2 linked regions of the Stegostoma tigrinum genome follow. The protein of the gene in region 1 interacts with the protein of each later gene in a pairwise test. Links are inferred from orthologs where the notes say so. Each region holds a gene or a part of one and is shown on either strand. Other genes may lie near its edges.

Evidence for each region.
Region 2: the proteins of iqub (region 1) and tmcc2 interact in a two-hybrid assay, tested with the Homo sapiens proteins (2 studies listed by BioGRID and IntAct). The two-hybrid records come from large-scale screens. The link is inferred for Stegostoma tigrinum from reciprocal best matches to the Homo sapiens genes IQUB and TMCC2.

What each region holds. Positions count from the first base shown.
Region 1 is NC_081371.1:14,578,894-14,594,610, forward strand, and holds the start of iqub (IQ and ubiquitin-like domain-containing protein), read left to right. Parts: upstream 1-8,440; 5' UTR 8,441-8,561; intron 8,562-13,003; 5' UTR 13,004-13,007; coding exon 13,008-13,191; intron 13,192-14,474; exon of another isoform or gene 14,475-14,620; intron 14,621-15,717. Other genes in the region: ndufa5 (NADH dehydrogenase [ubiquinone] 1 alpha subcomplex subunit 5), read left to right, coding at 857-973, 1,847-1,912, 4,912-5,013. UniProt on the Homo sapiens protein: Adapter protein that anchors the radial spoke 1 (RS1) complex to the A microtubule of outer doublet microtubules in axonemes. The triple radial spokes (RS1, RS2 and RS3) are required to modulate beating of the sperm flagellum.
Region 2 is NC_081374.1:8,080,848-8,096,601, forward strand, and holds the start of tmcc2 (transmembrane and coiled-coil domains protein 2), read right to left. Parts: upstream 5,703-15,754; 5' UTR 5,447-5,702; coding exon 5,435-5,446; coding exon of another isoform or gene 5,414-5,434; intron 5,300-5,413; coding exon 5,147-5,299; intron 1-5,146.

The sequences.
Region 1 (15,717 bases):
TATGCACTGATTTTCTGTTGATTCCTTGGAAGGAATTTCCCTTTATGTTCTTGTGTTATATATTAGTTGTTTGAGTGCTTTCATGTTTGCTTTACCTGGTAATTTCTAGGATTTAATTCAAATACATAAGGTTAAAGTTGATTGGAGGGTAGTGTGATATGGCACAAATAACATTGTGCTGAGTCAGGATGGTAAGATGGTGCTGGCATGAAGGGCCGAGTGGCCTACTCCTGCATCTATTGTATATTGTCTAAAAGTTTGTCTAAAATGCACAAGTTTTCACATTCACCAAAGAGAGGGAGAGACACTGGTAGCCAATTTAGTAAAAGAAACTATCAAACTACACTTTCAGTCAAGAAAACAAACTGTAAGGAATAATTGCAGCTACCTCTACACTTATATTTCTCAACTAGGGATCTTCTCGGTTGTTAGGAATTGTCTAGTTCCCTTTTGAAACAGTTGTGGTGAATTCATGCTTCCTTATTTGGGAATGGATAATTATGTAAGAATAGTACTTCTTGCCATCTAACCTGACTGTGTTTTCTTACTTTATTGTTGTGCTATTAGTTTTTTCCTCCCTATCTAACCTATCCACCTAAACAGAATATGTTGCTGACACCAGTTTAAACTTGCGCCTCCTAAAATGTTACTGATTTCAAACTGGTAAAGCACCTATGTTCCTTGGCAAAAGGAAAATAAAGATGAACGAGCTGCTAGCTGGCAGGACGGGTAGGGGCCTATCTACAGGCTTACAGGCCTGACCTGCCTGCTAGAGATAGTTTGAGGAGATTAAAAGAAGATAAATAGGCCTAAATGAGTTAATGCTTCCAATTTGTTTTGTGTTGTTTACTTTTAGAATTTGAGAATTCTGTACTCCAGAATTCTTACCGTTTTACAATCTCTGCCTCAGGATGTGGCCTATCGAAAATACACAGAGCAGATCATCAATGAAAGGCTTAACTTGGTAAAATCGGTAAGCTAGCCTGATGTAATTGATCACTTGTTTTCAATGGATGGTGTGTTATTTGTCAGATTGATATTTCATATTAGCATTTTCTCACTTCAAGTACTGTAAAAGTCTTCTGTAAGTCTTGAACTTTGTAAAGCTGATTTTATGTAAATATGATTTACTTCTAATATTGAAATAATGAAGGGTAATGAAAGGTGTGCAATAAATGAAAGGCATTTTCTAATGTTTATTGGGACAATACACCTGAATCATACATGCCTTTCAGACAATTGCAGAAATCGGGGTTAATAAAATAACTGAAACCGGAGCTAAAGATATTAATGTAATGTTTTTTGTTGTGGTATTGAATTCATGACAGTTACTGGGTGTCTCACCACTAATGTCCTGTGTGTTACTAATGGTCAGAAACTTAACTGGACTAACCATATAAGTTCTGTGACTGAGGGCTATTCAGAGATTGAATTCTGCAGAGAGTAACCCACCATCTGACAACACTGAACCTGTCCACCATTTACCAAGCACAACTCAGGAGTGTAATATTATATTGTCCACATTCCTGGATGTGTGCAGCTTCATCAACATTCAACAAATTTAATACAACCAAGGGGAAAGCAGTCAGTTTGATTGGTAACCTATACACTACTCTAAACGTGTCATCCACCATTACTAAAGTAGAAAGACAGTACTGTGTATCAGATCAAAGGTGCCCAGCAGAAATTCACCAAATGGCCTTTGACATTCATCAAATCCTAGGAGATGCGGTCACTGGTTCAAAGCCTTAGAACTTCCCAACAGCACTGTGAAGAACTCCAGAGGAGTGACACCCTGTACGCAGGTATTCATTTCAAGCCACCTGTTCTGTATTATGTATTGTAGGAGCGCGATGTTCAAAAACTAGAAGACAAAATCAACTGTGGACAGATCGAAGAAGTAATTTCACAGGTATGCCACGGTCTCACTTCTTCAGACTCCATATAGAATTCAATAGAATATATTCAGTGCAGACTGTCAACTACGAGCAGGAACCATCATATTAGGAATTTCCCCTCAAAGTGGAAGAAACCCCATCTTTCAATATCACTGTTTTCTGTATCTTGTGTTTGATTTTTTTTTAAAAACACATTTGGCCATGACTCTGGAGCATTTTCTTTTGTTTGTGTAATTAAACATTCTGTAATGTTGATGACAAGCTACTCATCTTAAACTCAAGATGAAGGCACGCCCGAGATTTTGGCCCATTGAGCCTCCTGTGCCATTCAGTAGAATCATGGATGGTGCGACATTCCTCATCCACTTTTTTTGCCTTGCCCCAAAACCTTTGATTCCCATACTGATTAAGAATCTATCTGTCTCAGGCTTACACATACGTAAGGACTTTCCGCCATAGTTTTCTGTGGCAAGGAGTTCCAAAGCATCACAACCATCAGAGAGAAGAAATTCATCTCCACCTTAAATTGGCACCCCTTTATTCTGAGACTAAATTCACATGCCCTAGGCTCTCCCATCTGGGGAGAAATCCTCTCAGCGTTTAACCTGTCAAGCCTTTTTAATAATCTTATTTGTTTCAATGAGATCAGCTCTCATTGTTTGAAACTCCTCCAATGAAAAATGTATCAACCTGTTTAGCCTTGCACATGATACAGTGGCTCCATACTGGGGACAATTCAAGTGAACCTTCTCTGAACTGCCACCAATGAAATGATATCTTGCCTTAAATAGGGGGACCAAAACATGTCTCAGTACTCCAGATGTAGTCTCTCCAGCATCTTGCACAGTTGCAGTAAGACTTCCCTATTCTTATAACTCCACCTTCCTTGAAATAAGAGCCAACATTCCACTAGCCATTCTGATTACCTGCTGCACCTACTTGCTTTCTGTGTTTCATGTACAAGTATCCCCAAATCTTTGTGTTGCAGCTTTATGAAGTTTTTCTCCATTTAAATAATATTCTATTCGTTTATTCTCCATTCCAATGTGATTATACTCATTTGCCAACTTTTTGCCCACTAATGTAACCTATCGATAAGTCTATAAACTGTTTGTATCCCCCTCTCAACCTGCATTTCCACTTGTTTTTGTGTCATCTGCAAATTTGGTTATAGTACATTCACTTTCTCCAAGTCATTAATATATATTGTAAACTGTTATGGTTCCAACACTGATGCCCATCGAACCCTGCTGGTCACAGGTAGGCAAACTGAAAAAGAATCCTTTATCTCCACTCACTGTTTCCTGACATTAGCCAATTCTCTGTCCACGCTCATGTACAAACTCCAATGCCATGGGCTCTTATGGCTCAATCTTTTGTGAGGTATATTGACAAATGCCTTCTGGAAGTCCAATACAAAACATCTATTGGTTCTCCTCTATCCATTCTGGTTGCGGTTTCCTCAGAAAAACTCCTTTGGATCCCAAACATGCAGATACAGCCTTCCTTAGATATGGGGTCCAAGACTGCTGTCAATGTTCCAAATGCAATCTGACCAAAACCTTATACAGTCTCAGCAGCACAGCCTTCTTGAAATGAATGCTAACATTGTATTTGCCTTTCTAACAGCCAACTGAACCTACATGTTATCCTTAAGTGAGTCCTGAACTTGGCTCCCAATTCCTTTCATGCTTCATATTTCTGAATCATTTCCCTATTTAGAAAATAGTGTCTATGTCTGTATTCTTCCTACCAAAGTGCATAACCTTCACACTCTTCCACGTTGTATTCCACCTACCACATATTTGCCCACACTTCTAGCCTGCCCAACTCTGCCTGCAGCCTCCCTGCTTCCTCAACACTACCAATCCCTTCATCTTTATCTATGAGATGTGCAAACTTAGTAACTGTTGGTGAGTTCATCTAGAGCGTTAACGCAAACCATGAGTAGTGGTGGTCCCAACATGGACTCTGGCAATAGTTCCTCTTGTCACCAGTTACCACCCTGAAAATGAACCCTTTGTCCCCACTTGCTGCCGCCTGCCAGTCAACCAATCCTCCATCTATTGCCAGTAACTTACCTCTAAAACCATGGGCTCATGTGTATTTAGCAGCCTCCTATGCAGCCCCTTGTCAAAGGCCTTCTGGAAATCCAAATAGATCACAGCCAATGACTCTCCTTGTATATTACTTGATTTTCAAATATGTGGGACAGTAGTGAATGATGAGGAGGTCCTCCATTTGGGACACTAGTGAAATTCAAGCCATTTTTAAGCTGAAGATAATGCAGACATTAAGCTGCTTTATTTGTGAAGGAAAAAAATCAATTATGGGTATATTTAAATGACATAGATGGCCAAATATTCAGTTGAGTGATGTGGTGTGTAATGTTACAAAATCGTTGACAGGAGGCATTAGTCATTTGGTTAAGCAAAACTTATAGTCTGTGTATGTGGTGCAATTCTCTCCCATTCAGAATAGACAAAACATTTGTTGCACTATCGTGTTGGAGGTTGAAGATACAGAATAGTTATTTTATGTTATTAGTTTATAACCATTCGTCTAATTTTTTGCTAACTTCACTGCATTGAACAGGTTTATTACTGGTGTCAAGATATTATGGGATCAACACATTAAAAGTTTCAAGAAAAAAAGTAAATTCACTAAGATAAAGAACTTAACATTTGGAAACAGTCAGACTGTAGCAGATCATTTACTTTTTTTGGTGAAGATCCGAATCAAAATGGCTTCTTTATTACCTCTGACTTAGTGCGATGATTTAGGCTGTTGTTGTTACCCTCAAATATTCAACAATTACTTTATTCATAGTCCCTGATATCTTGCTAAATTTGTGATTTTCTTTTTAAAGGTGCAATGAACTAAAATTAGTGATTGGGCAGAGTTAATCTTAATTTATATTTGATTTACAACTTTAAAATAAACTTGAAAACTAAAATGTTGTTTAAAACATTCTTAAAATACTCTTGGTTGCTAACTTATATTTTAATTACAGGCTGAGAATGAGCTTTCTCTAGCATACAAAATGGCTAAGTGGAAACCTTGGGAACCATTAATAGAAGAAGCCCCTCACAACCAATGGAAATGGCCAGTTTAAATTTTATGTAAATTATGTTGATTTATTCAGAAAACTATACTGTCTCTTCTGTTTGTTTCAATCGTTATCAATATTAAAATTAATTGGTGAAACATTCTTCGTTTCATTTTAATTTTTGCCATGCCTCAATATCATGTGAAGTATTAATCCATGCTTTTAGTCCTGTGTATGTAGCAGAATAATCACATCTTGCACCATGGCATTCTGTCTGCAGGATTGGATATTGTGTTGGCTTGGACATGGGTATTAGAAAATTGGGAGCAGCAACAAGAAGGGGATGAATTGTTGTGCGAAAAGGAGGAGCAATCCCGCTCTGACTGCAAATTAAAATAAGTGTAAATCAAAAAAAAAACTTGTTCTTCCATTGGGCCTTAGGCCCCTGATTAGCATATTTAAGGAGTTAGCCTGTCTTAGGCAGTTGTCACGTGCACTTGGAAGTTAACTGTCAGCTGTCAGACCTCGGGGGAAATTGGGTACCCTTTTCTTATTCATTCACAGGATGAAGGCATCATTTGGCCATGCCAGCAGTTATTGTACAACCCTAATTGCTGAGAAGGCAGCTAAGAGTCTTTGATTTGATTTATTATTGTCAAATGTACTGAAGTATAGAGAGAAGTTTTATTTTGCATGCAGCACAGGCAACTCATAGCATGCAAAGATCATGGGGTGATTGGACAGAGCACGGATTACAAAGTTATGGCTGCAAAGAAAGTGCATAAAAAGCAAGATCAACACTGGATTTGAAATTTGGGAGGCCCATTCAGAAGTTTAATAATGGCAGTGAAGAAGCTGTTGGTACATGTGTTTAAGCTTTTGTATCTACTGCCTGATGGAAGAGGTTGGAAGACATTATAACCGGGGTGGGAAGGGTCTTTGGTGATGTTGGCTGCCTTTCTTAGGCATCGAGAAGTATAGATGAAGTAAATGGTTGGGTAGTTGGCTTGTCTGATGGATTGGGCTGTGTTGGCAACTTCCTGTAGTTTCTTGGGGTCCTGGGAAGAACAGTTGCTGTACCAAACCGTGACACATCTAGGTAGAATGCTTTCTGTGATGTATCTGTAAAAGTTGGTGAGAGTCCTTATGGACATACCAAATTTCCTTGGCCTCCTGAGGAAAAAGAGGCATTGTTGTGCCTTCTTGAATGTTACAACAACATGGGTTGTCCAGGCCAGATCATTGGTAGTCATCACTCCTAAGAACTTGGCACTGTCAACCATCTCTACCTCTGCTCGATTTATGTAGGTGGGGGCGTGCCCTCCTCCTTGATTCCTGAGTCGATGGCCAACTATTTAATTTTGCTGACACTTAGGGAAAGATTCTTATCGTTGCACCATGCCACCAAACGCGCACACCTTTTTTGTATTCTGTTTCATCATTGTTTGATATCTGGCTTACAACGGCGGTGCCAGCGGCAAACTTGTAGATGGCGTTGGATGAGATTTGGCCATGCAGTCATGAGTATACAGATGGTACAGAAAAGGGTTAATGACACATCTTTGTGGGGTGCCAGTGTTGAGGATTGTCACACAGGATGTACTGTTGCCTGTTGCCACTGACTGCAGTTTGTGGGTTGTGATGTTGAGGATCCAGTTGCAGAGGGTGAAGCAGAGACCTAGGTCTCAGAATTTGCAGATTAGCTTTGTTGTGATTACAGTGTTGAAGGTGGAGCTGTGGTCAATAAGTAAAAACCTGATGTGGGTATTATTATCCAGGTGTTCCAGGGATGAGTGTAGGATTATGGCATTTGCCATGGACCTGTTGCACTAGTAGGCAAATTGCAAGGGATCAAGGCAGGCTGGGAAGCTTAGAGTTGAAATGAGCCATGACTAATCTCTCAAAGTATCTAATAATTATGTAGGTCAGAAATAAATATATTGTCGCACGATTTCCTTACTTACCCTGGCTCAAATTCAATGGTGGCAGCCATACTACTAACCCACCAAATAGTAGACCATTCAGTTACTATATGCACCGATGAGTGCGTCGAAACTGGGAATTTCTGCTCTGCGTAATTCAATAGTTCACTTCTTTTGTTCAGTTGAATTGTCAGGAAGCCTGGGCTATTGTACCTAAATGATTTCTGAAAAAACTGGAGACTTCAATTAGCTATCAACAGTGCAAAGTTTCATTATTTAAACCATTCGTGACTGAACGAATGCCAGGTGAATTCAAATTAAGCATTTTTTAAATTGTGTAGGAACTTTAAATATGCCCCAGAGCATACGCTGAGGAAAGAACTAAAAGGACATGGTGTTGGGAAATCTTGGACTGGACCAGTCCCTTGACTACACCTCAACACCCTTAGCTCAGGGTTGATCCTTACTATTCTCCACCTTCTGCAAAGGCTGTTTGACTATGAAAGCAGTGCTCATGAGTCGTTTTACTTCTGTTGCGCTATGACAATCTGCTGTGAAATTGCTAAGTTGAATCATTGTGAGTGTTACTATGTCTGAATTTGCAGCTGTCTTGCTTTTGTAAGTCAGCGTACTTTGAAAATAATGAGTTTTCTGTACACCTCTTTTAGAATACCCCATGGAGATTTAGTAGTAAAATTATAACTTTTCTGTTGGGATGTGTCATGAATGAAATGTGACATGACCAGATTTTTGATGCTACCAAATTCCAATTTCTGTTGTTGTTTAAAAGTTCCCTTGCAATGGGGATTTTAACACCCTTTCAATTAGCATAATCCCAATATTGAGAACCTGCCTAATTGACTTTGAACTGATTGCAGACCTGGGCTATTGCAAAGGGTAGTTCAGTCAAACTTCTATCAGAGATGATAGGAATGGCAGATGCTGGAGAATCCGAGATAACAAGGTGTGGAGCTGGATTAACACAGCCAAGCAGCATTTTAGGAGCAGGAAAGCTGATGTTTTGGGCTTAGACCCTTCATCAGATATTCAAGTTAGTTCTGTCTCCGTTTGGAAACATCACTGTCAAATGAACTGTGAAGTTCATCAGAAGGGTCTAGACCTGAAACGTCAGCTTTCCTGCTCCTCTGATGCTGCTTTGGCCTGTTGTGTTCATCCAGCTCTACATCTTGTTATCTCAGTCAAACTTGTGCTGTCGTGTAGAGTTACAGGTAGGCCAGATTGTAGACATAAACATTGCGCTAATATGTGCGTCTAAAGTTCATTTCTGTCATAGGTATGAAATTGATTGGTGAAAATGCCGAGGAAGTAATTAGGGTCTAGGCCCGAAACGTCAGCTTTTGTGCTCCTGAGATGCTGCTTGGCCTGCTGTGTTCATCCAGCCTCACATTTTATTATCTTGGAATTCTCCAGCATCTGCAGTTCCCATTATCTCTGACCCCAGTAATTACTTAGTGTTTGTTAGTTCCCTGTGTACACATGCCTGTAGACACGTGACTCTTCACAATGGGGACGGTGGGAGCAGGAGGGGGGCGGTATAGCGCAGGCGCACAGGGACTGATGCGGTTGCTATGACTCCGCGGTCAACAGGCCGAGGCCCGGGACTGGAGCGGAGAGGGCAGGAGGCCGTAGCCGGAGAATCACAACCCCGACACGGCGCAACGACTGATTCAGGTCTACTTCCCGACGACTTTCTGCTCGCTGTTAGATCCGCTCAAGTCAGAAGGAGACCTTCCCCCCCCCCCCCGGGAGTGTCCGCGACACCGGGTTGGAGACCCCCCCCGGGAGTATCCGCGACCCCGGGATGGTGACCCCCCGAGTGTATCTGCGACCAGGGAGTATCCGTGACCCTGGGGTGAAGACTCCCCGGGAGTATCCTCAACCTCCGAGGCGGTGACCCCCCGGGAGTATCCTCAACCCCGGGCGGAGGGGGGTCCCTCCTGGGAGTATCTGCGAACCCCGGGACGAAAACTCTCCTGGGAGTATCTGCGACCGCGGGGTGGGGGGTGGGGACCCCCCGGGAGTATTCCCAACCAGGGACGGAGATCCTCACGAATCAAGAAACGTACTCAGTTCTTGACCCACTTTTATATTTAATTAAACATTTGTAAAACTTAATGTCTATTAGCAAGGTTAAAGCAAACTAGTCGTAGATATTCAAGTTAGCTCTGTCTCCCTTTGGAGGCATCACTTTCGAATGAACTCTGAAATTAGACGTCTAGGGCCTTCTGGAATTCAACCACATTGCATACAAGCATCCCAAGATATAAAACATCCCATTCTAGCATTATGTCTTTCTCTTACTGAACCAATTTTTTTCTTCCTGTTGAATAAAGTATGAAATGGTCTCAGAGTCCAAAAGCAGAGAGTGGTTGTGATCAGTTGTTTTTCACTCTGAAGGCATGTATACACTTGTGTCCCTGAGCACATATTATTAGAACAATTACTATTCAATATCTATTGATAGCCTGGACTTTGGTATACAGGGCATATTTTTTAAAATGTGCCAATTACTGAAACTCTGAGAAGTAGTGAGGAGAATAGTAACTTCAGCAGGCCACAGATGGATCAGTGAACTGGTGAAGCACGGAGAATAGGCAATGCATCACAGGAGATTGAGAAGTGATGCTATTTTATAGGAAGAATTAGGCGAGGTGATATAAATTAACATAATTTCAAAGGGGAAATTAGGAGTATGCATACATAAATCTCAGATGGCAGGATGAATTGGGAAGATTACTAAAAAATAGTAGTTGTTCAACTTTATAGGTGTGGCCGTGGAATAGAATACATCTGAAAATTAGGTAAATCATTATAAATTGTAACTAAGTGACCCAGTAAAGTACATATCCAATTCTGGCCACCAAACTTTCTTTAGGAAGTCAAAATCTGTAAGGGGTTGGAGAAGAAAACGCTATAGCAGTACATGGGGGAGGAGAAGGGGTTTCTGAAATACATGGGGGAGGAGAAGGGATTTCTGAAATCAATAGGGAGAGGAGGGAGGTGGATCGAAGATGGATGTAGGAGAAGATAGGTGTAGAGGATACAGACGGGTCAAAGAGCTGAGGACGGAGCCAGTAAAGGTGAGTGTAGGTGGGGAGTTAGGGAGGAGATAGGTCAGCCCAGGGAGGACGGACAGGTCAAGAGGGCAGGATGAGGTTGGTATGTAGGAGATGGGGGTGGGGCTTGAGGTGGGAGGAGCGGTTAAGTGGGAGGAAGGGCAGGTTAGGGAGGCAGAGACGGGCTGGGCTGGTTGTGGGATGCGGTCAGGGGAAGGGAGATCTTGAAGCTTGTGAAGTCCACATTGATACCATTGAGCTGCAGGGTTTTCAAGGACTGCAACTTCCCCCCCCCACTCAGTGGTTGAGAATGCCCTCGACCATGTCTTCCACATTTCCCGCAACTCATCCCTCACATCCTGCCCGCAATAACAGCCAAAACAGAATCCCCCTCGTCCTCATACCACCCTACCAACCTCCGGATCCAACACATCATTCTCCAACACTTCCATCATCTGCAATCCGACCCCACTACCAAAGATATTTTTCACACCCCACCCGTATCTGCTTTCCGGAGGGACCACTCTCTCTGTGACTCCTCTATCTGCTCCACATTCCCCTCCAGCCCCACATCACCCGACACTTTTCCCTGCAACCGCAGGAAGTACTACACCTGCACCTACCCCCTCACCCCCATTCCAGGCCCCAAGAAGACTTTTCACGTCAAGTAGATGTTCACCTGCACATCTGCTAATGTGGTATGCTGCATCCGCTGCTCCCTTTGTGACCTCCTCTACATCAGGGAAACCAAGTGGAGGCCTGGGGACCGCTTTGCAGAACACCTACATTGGGTTTACACTAAACAACTGCACCTCCCATTCGTGAACCATTTCAACTCCCCCTCCCATTCCTCAGACGACATGCCTCTTGCAGTGTCACAACAATGCCACCCGAAGGTTGCAGGAACAGCAACTCACATTCGGCTTGGGAACCCTGCAGCCCAATGGTATCAATGTGGACTTCACAAGCTTCAAAATCTCCCCTCCCCCTACCGCATCCCAAAACCAGCCCTGCCTCACTAACCTGCCCTTCCTCCCACTTACCCCCTCCTCCCACCTCAAGCCCCACCCAATTTTCCTACCTACTAGCTTCATCCCACCCCTTTGACCTGTCCGCCCTGCCTGGGCTAACCTATCTCCTCCCTAACTGCCCATCTGCACCCACCTTTACTGGCTCCATCCCCGCCTCTTTGCCCTGTCTGTATCCTCTTCACGTATCCTCTCTTCTATCCATCTTCTATCCGCCTCCCCCCCACTATTTATTTCAGAACCCCTTTCCCCTCCCTGACTTCTGAAGAAGAGTCTAGGCCCGAAACGTCAGCCTTCCTGCTCCTCTGATGCTGCTTGCCCTGCTGTATTCATCCAGCTCTACACCTTGTTATCTCAGATTCTTCAGCTTCTGCAGTTCCTACTAATCTCTATAACAGTACAAGGGACTTTTTAAACATTAGTTTATGAGATGTGGGGTGTGTTGTCTAGGTCACGATTTATTACCCATTCTTATATGTGGTGGCGAAAGTCGGTGCTGAGCTACTTCATTGAACCTTTGCACTCCTTGGGATGTTGTGCCATCCACAGTGCTGTTAAAAAGGGTGTTCCAGGACTTTGACCCAGTGGCTTCAAGTCAGGATGGGGCATGGAAATTGCTGGTGGCGGTGTTCCTATGCTTTAGCCATTCTACTCAGTCGAGCCTACAGGTTTTGAAACTATTTGATGAGTTCTGCTTGTGGATGGTACATATTGCTGCTTTTGAACATCAGTGCTGAAGCGAGTGGACATTGAATGTGGTAGATGGAGTGCCAATCAGTAGGCTGATTTGTCTTTTATAGTGCTAAGTCTTTTGAATGTTTTTGGATCCTCAGCCATCCAAGCAAGGGAAGAGTATCACTTTCTTATTCTTTTATCTTTCTTTTTTAATTCATTCATGGGTTGAGCATGTCACTGGCCAGGCCAGCATTTATTTCACAGCGTTAATGAAACAATTTCAAAGAAGTTCTGAGAAATGGTCGCCGGACCCGAAACATTAACTCTTTTTTTCTTTCACAGATGCTGCCAGACCTGCTGAGCTTTTCCAGCAACTTTGTTTTTATTCCTGATTTACAGCATCCACAGTTCTTACAGTCAATTTGCATTTTGTATTATACATAATATGTATTGAAGAAGAATCATACCAGAAATAGACCCTTTAAAGAAGTCTAGATTGTTTATTCCTATTTCCTACAATTTAAAGGTATTAGATGAATTGACAAGTTTATTCTGTAGCATGACAAGTCAGGAGTAAGAAGAATACTCTTATCATGCCTGAATGAGTGTATTTTCCCAGAAAACCCTCAAACATTTCAATGCATCACACCCTATCCACCAACCTAAAAATTCACACCCTTCACCTCTGGTGGACTGTGGCTGTAGTGTGAACTATCTACGAACTGCAGTTCAGTAACTCAGCAAAACTTCTTCAACAGGAAATTCCAAACCTGCAAACTCTATCATTTGAAAAAACAAAGACAAAAGGCACATGGAAAACCATTACCTGTAGGTTCAGCTATGAGTCACATGTCATCCTGATTTGGAAATATCATGCTTTTCCTTCACAACTACTGGATCGCAGTTCTGGAACTTCATTCCTCAAAACGCTGTGAAGTATATGCCTCATATGGACTACAATAGTTTCAGAAAGTAGCTCCCACACTTTCTCAAAGGAACTAAGAATGAGTAAATTGAAGGACCCATATCATGAGGAGCAAAAACAGAAGTTGCTGGAAAAGCTTGTCAGGTCTGGCAGCATCTGTGAAGAGAAAATTAGAGTTAACATTGCGGCTCTGGTGACCCTTCCTCAGAAGTTAACACTAATTAGAAGTTGACTCTCATTAGTTAACTCTAATTTTCTCTTCACAGATGCTGTCAGACCTGCTGAGCTTTTCCAGCAACTTCTGTTTTTGTTCCACATTTACAGCATTTGCAGTTCTTTCAAATTTTATGGACCCATATCATGAAATTAATTTTAAAAAAAATTAGGCTGAACTCAGTATTATAAAAAATGCCTTTCTGTTTTGTGCAGAAAAATGGCAGAAAATGAAGACCATAACCAGGAAGCTGAAGAACAAAACGTTACATTTGAGCAAGATGAGCACACTTACGAACATGCCATAGAAATACATGAAGTGTTAGATGAAGGCCGCTCTGAAGAGCCTGCAGATGGATTAGATGATACAAAATCCAGAGAATATGTTGTTGAGTTACCGTCAGGTAAAATCGCATTTTGAATTGGGATAATAAACTTATGTTCTTGCTGTGCAGAATCAATTGAAGTCTTTAAAAATGAGATATATACTTGTAAAATGAGAACCAGATTAGAAAAGGGGATTAAAAGGCTAAATCTTCCACAGCTAACAAGCTTGTCGGGACCAAATGCACTACTTCACTTCTTTTATTTCTACATCAGGCAAAGTACAGACTTTTTGCTTTTTTTTTCTTAATGATCCTATGTTTTTCCTCCTTCACAATGCTACTGCAATTGGAAATAAATATCTACCACATTATGTTTACTTACCCATCTATACCGTAACCAAGCGGAGGTTTAGGGACTGCTTTGCAGAACACCTCCGCTCGGTTCACAGCAAACGACTGCACCTCCCAGTCGCGAACCATTTTAACTCCCCCTCCCATTCCTCAGACGACATGTCCATCATGGGCCTCCTGCAGTGCCACAATGATGCCACCCGAAGGTTGCAAGAACAGCAACTCATATTCCGCTTGGGAACCCTGCAGCCCAATGGTATCAATGTGGACTTCACAAGCTTCAAAATCTCCCCTTCCACCACCGCATCCCAAAACCAGCCCAGTTCTTTCCCTCCCCCCACTGCATCACAAAACCAGCCCAGCTCGTCCCCTCCCCCCATTGCATCCCAAAACCAGCCCAGCCTGTCTCCGCTTCCCTAACCTGTTCTTCCTCTCACCCATCCCTTCCTCCCACCCCAAGCTGCACCTCCATTTCCTACCTACCACCTCATCCCACCTCCTTGACCTGTCCGTCTTCCCTGGACTGACCTATCCCCTCCCTACCTCCTCACCTATACTCTCCTCTCCACCTATCTTCTTTTCTCTCCATCTCCGGTCCGCCTCCTCCTCTCTCCCTGTTTATTCCAGAACCCTCTCCCCATCCCCCTCTCTGATGAAGGGTCTAGGCCCGAAACATCAGCTTTTGTGCTCCTGAGATGCTGCTTGGCCTGCTGTGTTCATCCAGTTCCACACTTCGTTATCTTATACCGTAACTAATCATTGGTGCAAACATTACACTTCTGTTCAGCTAAGAATGCTAAGGAAGTTGAGTGTCCTATGATAGAATACTACTGATTTATTTAACGTTATGACTGTATTGAATATTAATACTGTAATTGCTAGTGTCTTCACAATAAGTTTCGTATTGGAATTGTGATAAGTTCTCTTTTTCAAAGTGATATGCGTCTTCATTTTCCTTTTTCAATTAATTTCCCTTCGGCCATTACTTTTTTCCCCTTTGTTCATTCAAGGGATGAGGGCGTCACTGACCAGGCAGCATTTATTGCCCATCCTACTTGCCCCAGAGACAACCACATTGATGTGGGTCTGGAGTCGCATGCAGGCCAGACCAGCTAAAGATGGCAGTTTCCTCCCTTAAAGGGCATTAGTGAATCAGGTTGGTTTTTCCCTAAAAATTGGCAACGGGTTCATGGTCATTGTTAAATTCTTAATTCCGAATATTTTATGAATTCAAATTCCACCATCTGCTGTGGTAGGGTTCAAAGTGCATCCCCAGAACATTATGAGAGTCTCTGGATTAACAGTCCAGCGATAATCCTACTAGGCCATTGCCTCCCTTATGCAACATATGCCCTCCTGGCAGAAACAAATATACATTTATCATCCTACAGCAGATGTATGTCATCGATAAATAATGGCAATGTGAGAAAAGCAGAACCTCTGTGTATTTCAATTGGGGAAATTATTGAATAGATTTTTCATAGGACTTTTAATGGACAGAGTAATATGGCTTGAATTTGTTTTCATTGGCTGCAGTAGATTTTTGGCTTTTCATTGTTTCAAGGCCTAAATATTGGCTAATATAAAAACTATCCAATTTTGGTTGATTTAAAGGATACACTCATCTGCTCAACTAAATGGAGAAATATCAAAGCTTGCTGTTCTACAAGTTTCAGGTGGTGATGCAGTGAGAAACGCTATAAAAGCATTAGGAACACATTGATAAATTAGTAGTTTGGGAAAAATTTAGCAGGTACATTCAATACAGAAAAAAAATGAAGTGTTACGCTTTGGAAGTAAAAATAGAAAAATGGAAAATATAGTAATTTGAAGTGTCAGTTAGTTCAAGAGGGCAAGTTGTTACTTTTTTTTCTGTCAATTTCCTCATTGTATGAACATGGCTTGTTGTGATGGTCCAGTCTGCAACTCTTTTCTCATTGCTAAAGTGGAAGACATAGCCAAGTATAAATTTTGGAGCTTCCTAACCCTAGTTGGAGCTTTTATTTTAGGAGGTAGCTTTGAAAGAAAATTATTTCTGAGTTGTTTGCTAAATTAAATGAACCATTTGTTGATTGGAATCCATTTTAAACGGCAGGCCAGTGGGTCAAGCCTTTCTCCCACACAGGTTTAGGCGAACAGTTTACAAAGTCAGCCTGTCTCTGGCTATTTCTAATTCTTTTTCAACTAACAAAAAATGCCTGGATTGATAAAACATCAAGTAGTCAAACTAGAATGAAAATATTCTTCTGTCGT
Region 2 (15,754 bases), on another chromosome or scaffold:
TCGATCAGCTGCCCAGATATCAAAGCTCCAGTAGACTCTCTACACTTTTGGCTACTCTACCCCACTTTCCTTCTTTAAAATATTCCTTATATCATACTTGTATGACCAAGCTGCCTCACAGGTATCAGTGACCTGAGTTTGATTTCAGCTTGGGTGATTGTGTGGAGTTTGCATGTTCTCCCCATGTCTATGTCGGTTTCTGCCAGGTACTCCAGTTTCTTTCTGCAGTCCAAATATGCGCAAATTAGGTGGATCTACCATGACAAATTGCCCCATTGTATCATAGAAAGTGCATGCTAGATGTATATCTGCGGTTACAGGGATGAGGTGGGGAACTAGGTCTGGGTAGGACGATCTTCAGAGGTTTGGTGCAAGTTCAAGGGCCAAGCAGCCTATTCCTGCACTGTAGGGGTTCTATGACAGTATATGTTTTTATAATCCTGCTATGAATCACAGTGGGTCATTTCATAACAAAATGTTCTACATAAGTAAAATTTGTGTCATTGAAATGCCAAATTCCAAATGTCAGGTTTGCTGTCATTGCAAATGTACAAGTGTTTTCTGAGAGATTCTGCAATGAAACCAAAGTAACCAATTTTCTTTTAGAATCCCTACAGTGTGGAAACAGGCCCATCAGCCCAACAAGTCCACAGTGACATTCAGAACAATCCACCAGGACCCATTCCCCTATAACCAACCTCATCTACACATCCCTGAACACTGTGGGCAATTAAGCATGGCCAATCCACCCGATCTGCACATCTTTGGACTGTGGAAGGAAACCGGAGCACACGGAGAAAACCAATGCAGACACAGGGTGAATGTGCAAACTCCACACAGATAGTCGCCTCAGGGTGAAATTGAACCCAGGTCCCCTGGCGCGGAGAGGCAGCAGGGCTAACCACTGAGCCACCAAAACCTATTTATTATCTCTGAATCATTTGGCTGTATGTCTATGCTCACCCAAAAGTAAAATGTTATGTCAGATTTTACTCCATTAGATTTTGACTGAAAAGCAAGAGAGACTGCACGCAATGGTACCAAACATTAATTACGAACATACCAAAGCTGAACATTCAAGCTATGGTTTTAGTCCAGAACCAGTAGACACAGTAACCTGGATGTCCAAGGTACTTCTTAAACCAGACAGTAGAAGTCAGACCCATAAACCTTTTTTTCCCTGCAGAAAACATGCAAGTCAGCCAATCTGATCATTTTGCATGATTCAAGACTATGAGCACAACAGACAATGTCTTGACCCAATTCCTACCTAGATTGAAGACCAAGCATCTATAGCTAAAAGAAACATAACTGTAGATGCAGAAAGCCTGAAAAACAGAAACTGCTGGAGAAACTCAGTAGGCCTGGCAGCATATGTGGAGAGAAAGCGGAGTGAATGTTCAGGTCCAGGTCCAGCGACCCTCCTTCAGACAGACTCTGCTGAAAGGTCAGAATCCCCAGAACTGACTCTGCCCTCTCTTCACAGGTGCTGCCAGAACTGCTGAGTTTCTCCAGCAATTTCTGTTTTACTGAAGCATTTGTAACCATTTGCAATGATCGCCATGGTATTTGTAAAAACCAACAGAATTGTGGATGCTGTAAATCAGGAACAAAAACAAAGTTACTGGAAAAGCCCAGCAGGTCTGGCAGCACCAGCACCAGAGAAAATAGAGTCAAAGTTTCAGGTCCAATGACCCTTCCTCTGAGGGTTACCAAACCTGAAAACACTGGGACACATGTTCTGCAGCCCACAAGGACAGGGACTATTATGAGCTCACACATGAATTGGCCATAGTAAATTAAAATTAGCCAAATGTGGCAAAGCAGTTTCCACTGTATTTATTGTATATACTTTTACTTATATTTGTTTAATTTACACTTATTTTATTTACTTGAGCTGTCAATTTTGCTCCAATGCTTTGTTTTTCATCTTCCCCTCCCCTTGCGAAAGAACAATCTCATGGTTACATTCTGTTCTTCACATAGCAGTACTTAGTACAAGAAATCATTCGTCACAAACAAGCAGTGACAATAAGTTCAACAATATATTCCAATGCTCACTGGATGGTAAGGAGGTGCAGGGTTTCAGACTGATTGCCCTCCATCCCATGTTCCAAATATGTGGGACAATAAGGTTAAATACACAAATTAACTGGTCTCCTGACTCAGATTAAATAAATCAGCAGATTGGGAAATCACACCTGTGCCTCTCTAAATTATATTTTCTAGCACCATAAAGGCCAAACTACTGAAGCAGGTTAACAGAAAACATATCGCCCACATTTTTTTCCTCCTCTTTTCCACTTTATCAAAAGCCCAGAAGTGACTTCAATATCCTCTCAAACTCTGGAGGGCAGTTACGTTTCTGTCACACCTGGCAATGTGCCTTCATTCACCAGGTCATGATGAAAACTACCAGTAATTTTAATTTCTCAGAGGAGAAGATGCAGCTTCAGGTATTTTCTTTCCATTTAAGCTTGAAGTATCTTGACATCATGGTCAGAAAACAATTACAGAGAAGACAGGAACAAGCAAAATTCTTCTCAAATTATGGATCAGTTCAACTAAGGAGGGAGAAACAAGGGTGCACCATAAAATGAGGCTAAACACCATATAAATTCACAAATGGTACTCATTTAAATAGCAATCACTTCTTTTAAGTGTGTGTGCAAGAATGTGTTTGACAGAAAAATCTTGGCGCATAATTTATTTAGGAAAATCCTGAAATTCTTATCTACATTAACAGGTCTCAACTAAGTGGAGATGAAACCTAGAAATACTGCACTGAATGCCAGAGAAGGCTCAAAAAGCCATATGATCCACTTCTGCTCCGATCTTGTGTGTAAAAGGGAGTGTCAGACTGAAATATTTCAGGAGAGGAAGAATTGTCATTCTTGGGCCTCAACATAAATGACTGGCATCAAATTGCCACCTGTGCTTCATTTTGTTTTAAACAAAATTAGCAGATATAGAACATGACCAGTGTGAACAAGGCTTTTTAAGTCAACCACACTCAACCTCCTTCAAAGTAAGAATTGTCCTCAAATAAAACACTAAGCATTGAAACAATCCCACTGTTACATAATGGCAGACGAGTAGAGGATTATTTGTGTCATGGTGTTAGGATGAAGGATCAGAACCCTGACGTATTTAAGGATGTATTCAACTTGTAATTGCAACATGTATTTCTCAAAGAATGGACATGTAGCCAAAAAATAAATCAGTAGATATAATTCCAGCAGCTGTTTGGAAGAGAGTCCTGGAATATCACATTTAAAGGTACCTATCTGGGACTGTATTAATTTAGGAAACACTGCCTAGAAATTGATCATATTAATGATGCAAGAAATGCTGATGCACACACTACAAAACTTTTAATTTAAAATTGAAAATGAGTGAAGCACGGGGTGGGAGCAAAATGTAGGAGGAAGAGGAAGACAGACAGAATGCAAAAAAACAGGGCCTTGAATCAGCTCTCTAAGCCATCGTCACAAACAGATAAAATGTACAGCACATAGAAACTATGGTAGATGACATGCGAGAAAAACAATGGAAAAGCCACTAAACAGACTTCAAATTGTTATTCTGAGTAAAGTTACCCCATGCATGACAAATATGAATTTGCACGAGAAAGGAATTAGAATGACTACTTAGAATTAGTTCATTAGTATTATTACTATTATAGTGGCATCTAAGAGTTTAGTTTTATTTTCCTTCCAGGTATAGCTGAGGTTTGGAACACAGCAATACAACACTGGTATCTATTATTCATAGTAAACTAAAAACATTGTTCAAAATGATAGTGATGTAGTAGAAACGAATAGCCCAAGTTATTAATCTTCCTTCCCCATTGAAATAAGAGCATTCTGTTCAATGTCATATGCTGAACTAAGCTCTATTTATAACAATTCACCACAATGAAAGCACAAGGGGGGGCAATAATGACTGCAGTGAATGACCATTGGTGAATAACAAAACAATAATGGATTTGAGAGATTCAGACACTATCAAAAAATCGTATAATTGAAACATGTCCAATTTACTTTCACAATTCAAAGACTGGATTCGAGTTCTAAGTTCTTTGTCAATCACTCATTCCACTTAAAAAGTGAATCAGTTATACTTTTATTAAACAAAAATTACGGAAGGTGACTGGATTTATTTGAATTGCAACTTTAATCTTCAGAAATCTATTTCTTGTGCCATGATTCTTAATTAAATAGCTGACTTGAATTATTATTCCTTTTGTATAATCTAAAGCAGCAAGTCTCTGCAGGCTTCTTGACTGTGCTGGATTGGTTGAAGACGATGTTGTAGTGAACTGATCTACCCACACCCACTATCCAACAGGATTTACTGGATAGTTATGAAGATAGGGTTGATTTTCCACTCTGCTGGAACAGAGGCGGTGGCCATCTGCCCCACCCAGACAGATTATAGCCCAGCTGAAATGAAGAAACAGCACAGATCACCAGAGTCACTTTGGCTCAAAGGACACCACTTTGGGCAGCATGCATGATTGAAATTTAATTTGAACACTTAAATATGCACAAACTGTATCTTTTGCAGGACTTTTCAGCTGTGATCCCAGTTGTTTACATTATCAGGAATAACAATTCCTCAGTGCCCAATTACTCAACCTTATATTTCCATTGCAAAAATGCAGATTAAAAACATAGCTAATTATTTAAACCATAAAAATCACTAATAAAGAGTCATTCAGTAGTTTTCAAACCACCTCTCAGCACAATATGAGGTTAGCAAAGACTTACTCAGAGGCGGGGTTAAATCTGAAACCAGACGAAACACACCCTTGATTCTTCTTTACCTTAAATCTAATTGTCTTAGTCATCAGCCCCTTAATCACTTTTGTGTCAGTTGGGATAAAACAAGCCAAAGGTAGTGAGCAATAACATCAGGTAAGACAAAGCATCCCGCACAATTAAAAGTTTGAAAGCAACCTGCTTTTGCATAGCACCTTGGCAGACAGCAAGATACCCAAAGGTGCATTTTAGGAGATGCAGCAGGCAAAAATTTGGAGCTACACGAGGGCAAAAGGCAGAAAGCCCAAAAGAAGAGGTAGGATTTTCACCAGCCTATGTTATTATTATGAGTAAAGAAGGAAGAGCTTATTTATTCGCTGTACCTTCAAGTCTTGAGCTCTGTTGTTGCGGGATGGACAGGCAGCATCTGCTGGCGTAGCATCACCCTGCTGCTTGAGCGCTGTATCAGCACCAACTCCCAGCTTCGACCCCTGCTCCTCATCCAGGGGCAGTTCGTCAGACTTGCACCGCTTCATCTGCAAAATAAAAGGGAGGTGGTGGTGGGCTAAAAGTGGGATCTTGCTGTATTCAGCTAGTAAAGCTCCTACAGAAACGAGAATCAAAAGAGAAAACCCTGAATTAAACATTACCAGTGACTTAAAAAAACGTACTCGCCCATCCATTTCAATCTTCCATCCCAATTACAAGATGAAATTAAGACTTTCGGGAAAATTTTCATGGCGACACCGCCTTTCGATTTCCAGCAGGAAAATTACCTCGGCGGCTCAAATGCACAACAGTTTCCCTCATGAATTTACAAATCCAGCGGATTTAAGTAAACGCCGATAGAAATTTACATCTTTTTTTAACCGCCATCACCAAAGCCCCTTCGACGCACCACCGTCTGACTGAGAGGAACAGCCATGTCCGCGGGCTGAAGCGGGGGCGGGACTAAAGGAAACCCCGCCCCCTTCGTGTCGCCAACCAAACCTGCCGCCTACCGGAAGTGTCTGCCGATGACGATTGACACGCTCGCTACCCAATCGGAATCGGGAGATGTGTGAGTAGGTGTGGGTGGGGCTTGTGGGACCACATTCAAGGTAGGTTGCAGCTCCGTAGGATTTTTTTTCTCATTGCCTTACCCTCCCACTCGTATGGATGGAGAGGGAGGAACTTGCCTCTTCGCTGGAGCACATCTGCACTACAAAGGCATGTAATACTGTACAGCATATAGTAACAATAGCTTGCATTAATGTGGCTCACAGAGAGCTTACAGGAGTATGATGTCCCAAATTTTGGTCTTTGGGCCTGATAAGGCCGCGTCTGGGGTAGCTGGACCAACACCTTGGCCAGTGACAATTGGATGATAATTTTCCTTTTCAGATAATAGTTTCACGGGGAGAAGGTGGAGGAATGACAGTAGGTGCATTACTCATTCAGAGAGCTGGCACAGTCACGATGAGCTGAATGAGCTCTTACAATTCCGTGAATTCTGTAAATGGGGGAGGTGAGGTGTTGGTTGAGAAGCTTTGCGATGAGAGGTTGTAGCAAGGAATTTCAGAGCCGGGAACCCAGGCAAATTAAGTCACTGTCTCTGAGCTGGGGTGGAGTGATCTAAATTGGAGACACACAAAAAGCCACAACACATACATATTACCTATCAGATGGGAATCAAGGGATGTGTTCCGCCTCTCTACCACTTGGTAAATATCTATTTACCAATGTACTTAAATATACTTAACAGATTTTCAGAAGTTTTTAAAGACAGGATATGAAGGAAATGCTGGCCTTTATTTGAAATGTAATGTCGTATAAAAATAGAGAAGTCTTGCTAACCTATACAAGGCATTCGTCAGACCATAGTTGGAATACTGTAAACAGTTTTGGCCTCTTTATCTAAGGAGGGATATACGTGGCATTGGAGGCAGTGTAGAGAACATTCACCAAGTTGATCCCAGGTATGGACAGATTTTCTTATGAGATCAGATTGAGTAGCTAGGATTGAATTCATTGGAGTTTAGAAGAATGAAAAGCAATGTTATTGAAACATATCAGTATTCTTAGGGGACTTGACTGGAGAGATTTTGTTCTAATGGGAGAGTATAGAACCAGAGGATATTTTAAGCGCAGTCGCTTGTGCTGTGGCAAAATGCAGTCCTGACTTTGAAAACAGGCCCCACCAACAGCAACGAGATCAATTGCTATTAAGCTATTTTAAGAGACTTGTTGATTAAAGTTTAATAATTGATCACTCCTCATTAAATAGTACCAGAGGAACTTTTACGTTCAGTCACAGTGAGGTACAGATAGGAATACTGCTGAAAAGAGAGGCTTGTTTTTCTTATACTCTTGAGGAAAACTCAAGAATATCAAATTTGAAACAATCACAATGTAAGTCTTGTACCTTTTCTGAATTCCCAAAGAGAATGGGGACCTATCCATTTTGTTTTCTGCATGTTAACATCAAAGACAACTTGTCAACCAATCAGCACCCACTTCTCCAACGGCATAAATTCTGGAGTTCATTTGAAATTTGGCATTCTTGTGTTTATCCTGAAGACAAAGGCTTTGACAATACATGTCTCTTTTCAGCAATATTCAAGTACTGTACTATGAACTACTCATAGAATTGTTAGAGCACAGAAGGAGGCCATTTCAGGGCATTCATGATCCCAGTCACTCACTTTTGAAAAAAGATTTCTTTTTGTGCCTGTTATGGTTCTCTGCCAATCATCAAGTTGTTGCTTCTGATTGTTGACTTTCTGCTAATGTGAACAGTTCCTCACTGTTTACTCTGTCTAGATACCTCATACATTTGAACATCTCCTCATCTCCAAAGATGACAACCTCAGCTTCTACAATTATCTATGTAATTTAAGTCCCTTGTACCTGATCTATTCTTAAAAATCTTCTGTGCATCTTTTATAATACCACCACAAATTTTTTAAAGTGTGCTGTCCAAGACTGGACACAATACTCCGTTAAAGGTCAAACCAATGTTTCATGTAGTTTTATCACAACAGCTGTGTTTTTATACTTCTTGTCCTCATTTATAAATCCTAGAATATTGTATGCTTTATTAACCATTTTTTCAACCTGCTATTGTCAGCTTTAATGGTCTCTGAACATACATCCCCATGCCCCTCTGTGGCCTGCACATCCTATAGAATGGTATGCTTTATTTTATGAAGTCTTTCCCCATCCTTCGAAATCAAAGCATTTCATACTTCTCTGTATCAAATCTCATTCTGTTTCTGTTACTCCCATAAGTCTGTCTATGATCTCCTGAATTTTACCACTATTCTCACATAACACAATAATTACATCGTTTGTAACATCTGCAGATTTTGAGGTGGTGTCCTATGCACAGCAGCCGTGCCAGCAACATGCATCAAAAGAGCAACAGAACTGATAACAATCTCTGGCAAACGTAACTAAAATGTTTCCTCCATTCCAAAAGAAAGAATCATCCACAAGTACTCTGTTACCTGTACCTCAGCCAATTTTATATCCAAGATATTACTGTCACATTTGTCTCCTTACCTCTAGCTTTGCTAAAAGGTTTGATATGTGGAACCAGATGCCCTTTGGAAGTCCAAGCACACTACAGTGATTTCATTGTTCTCATTGCTCTCTGTGCTATCTCACCAAAAAAACTTAAATATGGTATTCCCTCTATAAGTCTATGCTGGTTTTCCTGAATTAATCAAGATATGTTAAAACATTCAAGGCGTGGGCCTGGTGCTGAAAAGTGGGGCTAGTTAGATTCAGTGTAGCTTTGGCGGTACAGACTTGATAGACCATAGGCCCTCTTTTGTATTGTATGATTCTATTAACTTGAATACTATTGAACAAACATATTGCTGAAGATCTTTGTCTTGTGTCTATCCAAGTGATTGTTAATGTTGTCCCAAATTATTGTTTCTCAAAGCTTTTACAAAACCAAGGTTAAATAAACTGATTATACAATTACTGGGTTTATCCTTGTGTCTTTTTTTGAAGAAGAGTGTAACATTTGAAATTCTCCAGTTCAGTGCTGACACCACCTCTGTGTCTAATGAGGATTCAAAGACATGGTCAGTGCCTGTCCAATTTCCTTACTTCCCTCATCCAGACAGGCAATCTAATATCCTCTCCTTATAAAATTTTAGTCTCTCAAGCTTCCAACGACTGTCTCCTCAATCATGGCTTCACCAGCACCTTCTGGGGTGCATGGGGTGGCACAGTGGTTCAGTGATTAGCACTGCTGCCTCACAGTGCCAGAAACCCTGGCTCGATTCCATCCTTGGGTAACTGTCTGTGTGGAGTTTGTGCATTCTCCCCATGTTTGCATGGGTTTTCTCCATTCTCTCCTGTTTCCTCCAAAGATGTACAGGTTAGGTAGATTGGCCATTGGAAAAACAGAGCTACAGGGACAGAATGGATACTGTTCAGAGCATTGGTGTGGACTTGATGAGCCAAATGGTCTGCTTCCACACAGTAGAGATTCTATGACTCCACGATTCTTTCTTGGTTAAGACAAATGTGAAGTTCTTAAATTATACTTTAGCCATGCCTACTGCCTGACTGTTAAATCCTTCTTAGCACTCCTGCAGAATCCAGTTCTCCTTTGAAACTCATTTACTATTTACAGTATAGTTTTGGATTTCTGTGTACAAAGAAGCCTATTTTTAAGGCCTATTTATTTCGACATCTAAATTTATGCAGTTGACCACAAAAAGATGAAGAAGGCAACTTAAATCACAATTTTAAAAAGGCATTTGACAAACATATTTATGATGTGAAAATAGAACATGTATATAATAGTTTAAGTATAACACGATAAGCAATTAAAATGGGTAGCATGCGAAATCTGCAGATGGGTGGAATGAATATTGATTGGTTGTTGTCACAGGCATGGTGTCATTACGGGTGAGAAAACCCAGAGTAGATTTATTTGAATTGTCCCTGAGGATGAAATCAATTAATCTTGTGTATAGCCACAGAGACTATTAAAGTAACTTTTCAAATTGAATGCTTTAAGTAAGAATAAATTAATATTATGAAATAGTGATGTTACACTAGTTGGTTCGTGTCCCTGACTATTGTTTTTCTCCTTAGTATTTTGTGTACTTCAATGTGTGTGTGTGTGTGTGTGTGTGTGTGTGTGTGTGTATCCTATTCCCTACTTCTCTCTTCTGCTGAAGGCATGAATCCAAATCAAAGTCAGCAGGTTATCCAGCCGAAAAACCAATTTCACATATGCCAGTGTAATGCAGAGTTCTGACAGTTATTCAACTGGCAGGGTGAACTAGACAAAGGGCAGGAGATTAATGATGAATTTAAACGAGAGCCTGAAATCTTGACATAAACAGCCTGAAGCTTCATTGTCTTTTCATTTTTTTACCTTAACCTGAGAGGTTTTAGAAAGATATTTAATTTTATGTTCTTAGGATATGGCTAATGCATGTTTATTTCCTACAGCAAGTATCCCTAAGACAGCTACTTAGTATGAGATTGAAATGACATGTAAGCCAAATCAGATACGACAGACAACTTCCCTATTCTAAGGGACATTAATTTCCTTTTCCTGAGGAATATTAGTAATCCAGCCAGATCTTTACAACTATTCCAACCAATTTAATGTGAATTTTCTTTCATAATGTACGCTGGGAATTGAACTCACAAAATGTGGTTTGCTTGTCTAATTAAAAAAAACTCCAACTACTGCACGAGAACAGGAAGTCAGAGTAAACATGGCCAATGAAAAGAGACAGGGATTTGTATAAAATCCTTCACATCCTCAGGGCATGTCAAGACACTTCGCAGCCAATGACTTTTTTTGAAGTGTAGTTACCATTATAATGTAGGAAACAAGATAGCAAATTTGGTCAGAGAAGGGTCCTGCAAACATAAGTGTGATGATGAGCAGAATCTGTTTTCTTTCAAAAACAAAACAACCCAAAACATTAACTATGATTTTTCTCCACAGATGCTGCCAGATCTGCTCAGCTTTTCCAGCTATTTCTGTTTTTGTTTCTGAGTTACAGCATAAACGCTTCTTTCACTCTCCATTTTTGTTGTTGATATCAGTTGAGGGATAATTATTAGTCAGGGCACTGGCTAAAATGTCCCTATTCTTCTTTGAATACAATGAGATCGTTACCATGATGCCATAATCTCTCGGGCAATGTGCTCTCGCTAAATCAACAACCTTCCCTTAAAGAGGGGCCTTTGTAACCAGCAAAGACCAATATATTGTTCTATTGTCAAATTCATGGGACATTATGAAAACATATTGTTTTTCATCATTAAATGATGTAAAGGATAGCACTAGGAAAGATCACCAACTTCAACAATCAACTTTTGTTTCTCTCCCCACAAATGCTGCCTGACGTGCTGGGGGTTGTCAACATTTTCATTTTTGATTTTAGATTTCCAGCATCCACAGCATTTTGCCTTCCATGGAACGCTGGTTATTCAGAAACTTGTAGTGCAGGAAGAGGCCAATTGGGCCATTGTGGCTGTATATTTATAGTAATACTCACAACAATGGCACAACAATTCTGGGGTCAGGGATCAAATTCAGTTCAGACTGAATGGAAAGAAAGCATCTCATATTTTGGATCCCATGTGATTGGTTTGGGAAATTGCTCCTGTGGAGTCTACAACCTAAAATAACAAATAGAGAGAGCAAAAGTAAACAGGAAGCAGAGCAATAATCTGTTTATTAAAAGAATGGGAAGCGTGTTGAATAGATTACTGGCATGAATGGTGGCACAACAAGAAGTTCCAATTCATAAAATGTCCATAACATTGGGAAACATTTCTATAAATAATTAATGGTACTGCTTTGACACCAAGACACACAACAACATATTAGGATAGATAATCCATTGTTTCATCCAAGATGTAAATTTCAAAAAGCACTGTCAATGTGAAGAGAAAGAGACAGAGATTACTAAACAGGGAATTAAGCATAGGGTCTGGGCAACTGAAGGTAAGACAGTCAATGGCAGAATAAAAGAACTGAGGTTATGCAAGAGTCTGAAATTGGAAGAACGCAGAATACACAGAAATATAGTGTGGAGCACGTTTCAGAGATGGAGAGAAGCCAGCACATGAAGAACTGTGAAAAAACAGTTATGATAATTTAAAATCCAGTGGTCGATTATTCACCTGTGGTAGCAGAGTTTTCATTTTTCTTTGTGAAGTGTTGAGATGGGCATGTTAAATGGCTCCAAGCAATGCCATCCCTAGTGCTGAAATAAGTCACCTGTTTGCATGCTAATCAATTCGATAACAGCCAAGAGGTGATCATTGCTGAGTTTCTAGCATGATGCTGGCCTTGACACTTGTCAGAGATGCTACTCAAACACATGCAAGTAGTTTCTGCATTACAAAAGTTGCAAGTCATGGCGTACCCTGTAGGGTATGAGGGGTGAGAAGGTAAGTACTCTTTTCAACTCTTCTGATGGGATGGTTATGGATAATTTGGGTCAGAAAATAGCTTTCAAAGTAGAGAGTAGCTTTCAAAAGCCATCCCATTGTCCCTAATCTGTATCTCTGATTACCCCAGATTGGGGCAAATGAGGGTCACAGTCCCCAATCCAGGAACAGCTCATTTGTGACTGTGGAGGTAGCAAAGTTAAGGCCTCTCAGTGGCTATCAGGCATCGATTAAGATTTTTAGTTGGTGGTGAATCAAAAACTAGCTCATGGTCCATCTCGTACAGCACTTTCTGGATGAGGTACCAAGAAGGAAGCTGCGTCATGTATCTTTCTAGGGCCAATTCACCCAATTATTTCTCCTCATCACCTCTGCGACACCTCCAGGGAAGGGAAAATTCCATACGAGGTGTTGCCTAATCAAGAGCCAACGTAGCAGGGCGGGAACACAGGGATGATGGATCCATGTGAATTGCCACAAGTGGAACGACAGACAGCAGAACATTGAATGTTTCAAGAAGGAATTAGAAAGGCTTATCAACAAAAGGAACATGTGAAATGTTAGAGATAAGTGACCTAACAAGGATGAACGTCTTCTCCTGCCTAGAGCTGTTTTGAAACTGATCTTTTACTAAACTAGAAATTGGCAATCAGAAAGAACATACGCAGGAAATGGAACAAAAATACAATAAAAGGTGCTGTACTGGTCAGAATGAACACCTATTGTTCAGAGAGCAGTACAGCATAAAAGGAAGCCATTGGCGTACCAATAATGTCTGTATTTATGCCATTTCCAAAGAATGTAGTTTCTTCACTAGGCTTCTCTACTTTTTAAAAATTTAATCAAAAAGGCAATTAATAGCTACCCCCTTAATCAAGTTGTTAGTCTCCCATTCTGATATTTGATTTTTGTAGCAAAACTAACTCTATCGTTGCTTGGTCTCAATTTTCCTTGAGAACACTCTTTTTAAGAGCCTTCGGATGTAGTCAAGCATTTTTACTTCAATGGGATGTTTTAAGGCACAGCTTCTAAAGCCAGTTTACCATGCCAAAGAACATCTGTCATGGGACATTACTTTCTCTGTGGCTCCTTGATTTGTGGATCAATATTTAATTGGATTTGTTGAGTTTTTAAAACTCAGCAAAAAAAATACTGAGCAGGGGTGTTTAATAATTTATTGCAGTTTCCTTTCCTTGAAATCAGATCCTCAACGTTGGTGTTTGGTTTAGTCTAAAGATTATTTCCCTTCTGTTTCTGAAAATGAGCTGAAGTGTCTGGTGAGGGCTGTGTAAGTTCAATCCAATTTAAATTACATAGGGTTCATGAAGTCTTACCTGTATTTTGGTGTTTCCCATTCCAACATTTCTATTAATCAGTGACTTTTGTACAGAATCATCCAAAAATGCAGCGACCTAGGAGGGTGGTATTAGCCCTTCATGTCTGCTTCAGCCCTTTGAGACAGCAATCAGAGAATGGACATGAAGTCGACAGAGGCCCTTCAGTCCATCATCTCTTTACCATCTCTCTGAGCATTTTGACTTGGTTCCAAAATTTCTGCCTCTTCCTCATAACTTTGTTTCTAATTTATACAATCACCCATTGTTTTATTGAATATCTCAATTGAACTTGCCTTGATTCTTTGGTCGTCCATTTGGGACAGGGAGGACTTGCTTCCACTTCGGATGTCCGGAGGTTTTGTGGTAGCTCAATAGTCCAGTCCTGGAGCCACAGGTGGGTAGGTGATGTTTGAGATGGGGGCAATGTGCCCTCAAAACCCTCTGGATTCTGCATTGTCTTTCTGATACTTGTGCTAGTGCTCCGTATGCTTCACTTGGTGACCTTCATAGTGGTTGGTGCCTTCTGTAGGTTATGCGTTCTCGGGCAAGTGTGAGGCTTGAGGTCATGAGTCAATGGGGATGATGCATTTGCCAAAGAAGCCTTCCAAGGCATCCTTTTAACATTTCCTCTCCTCTCCTTGTGAACATTCAGTGCACAGAATGGAGCATTGGTTAAGGGAGTCTTTTGGCAAGTATGCGGACAATGTTGCGTTCCCAGCACAATTGGTCATGTGTGACCAGTGCCTCAATATTTTGGGCATTGTCCTGTCAGAGCTTGCACGCATTTGTTCACTGATCCTGCCTGTGGATTTGTAGGATTTTGTGAAGGTGGCACTGGTGATAACTCTCCAGTAGTTTGAGGTATCTGCTGTATATGGTTCCTGTTTCTGATGTATACGGGAGGATGGGGACCACATTTGTTCTGTAGACCATGAGCCTGATGCTTGATGACTGCTTACTGCAAATCAATGACAGAGTTTAGGTGGTCTTGGTTCAGACCTGGAGGGAAAAAGGTTGAATTGTTTCTCTCTCATCCTTTGGGTTAATTCTACTCCAGAAGGGAGCTTCATGGAGATGGGGGTGGAATGTTGCGGTCTGGAAGTTGGAGAAGAGTGTTGGTGTGATGATGCGGCCCTATTTGATCCCAATTTACACACTCATTGGTGGATCCATTGGTCAGGATCATAGCTTAGATGTCATCCTAAAGCCGGGAGAGGATGGTGTCAAATTTTTGCAGGCAGCCAAATTTGTGGGTGATATTTAACAATTCCACATTTGAAAGATCAAAGAAGACCATATACTGAAGTTGGTACTGTTCCCTGTACTTTTATTGGATTTTTCAAGGGCTGAAAATCATGTTTCTTATGCATCTTGATGGCCAGATGCCACACTGAGACTCAGGAAGAAGCTCTTCAGCGATGAGGAGAAGGCATTTGTGGAGGATTCTTGCAAACACCTTTTCTGGCCAACTGTAGGGAGGTCCTTCTGTAGTTTCATAGTCAGACCAGTCTCCTTCCTTGAATATAATCACAATTACAGCATCTTTGAGATCTCCCGCCAGGCGTTGTTCCTTCCAGACACAATCAATGAAGTTGTTGGGTTCATGTAAAGGGCGCCTCTCCACTGTAGTTTATTACTTTATTAGGAAATCCATCTGCGACACAGGTCTTGTTGTTTTTCAGCTGTCATATGACTTTGTTAACCTAATGGCAGGCTAGAAGTGTGCTGAGATGACGTAGGTTAATATCATGTGGGATGGTTGTAGACCACTTGCATCAAAGGCTGCATCTTGGTTGAGGAGGTTCTCAAAGTCCTGTCTCCCCAGTTGGTATTGGCTGCATCTGAGTCTCTGATGAGCCCCTCTCAGTTTTTGCCTCTCACTGAACTAGGCCCCTGTGTAATCAAACCACAGATGACTTTGATTTTGCTAAAGAAGCCATGCACGTAGTGGTTGTGAGTTTCTGACCAGCAATTCAATCAGAGTTTGTTTTTGCTCTGTCTTCCATGCCCAACACACCTTTCCAAAGGGCTGCATCGTCTCTCCTGGCATTGAAGCCACCAAGGAGAGTCAACTAGTCTTAGGGATGCAGGACAGCATGGTTGTGTAGCATGTCTCGTTTGTTTCATTCATTGTGTCCAGGTTGAGGCATGGGCACTGACAACTGTCATGCACTGCTTCTTAGCCAGGAAGAACTTTATGGTCATGAGGTGCTGATCCGCTCGACT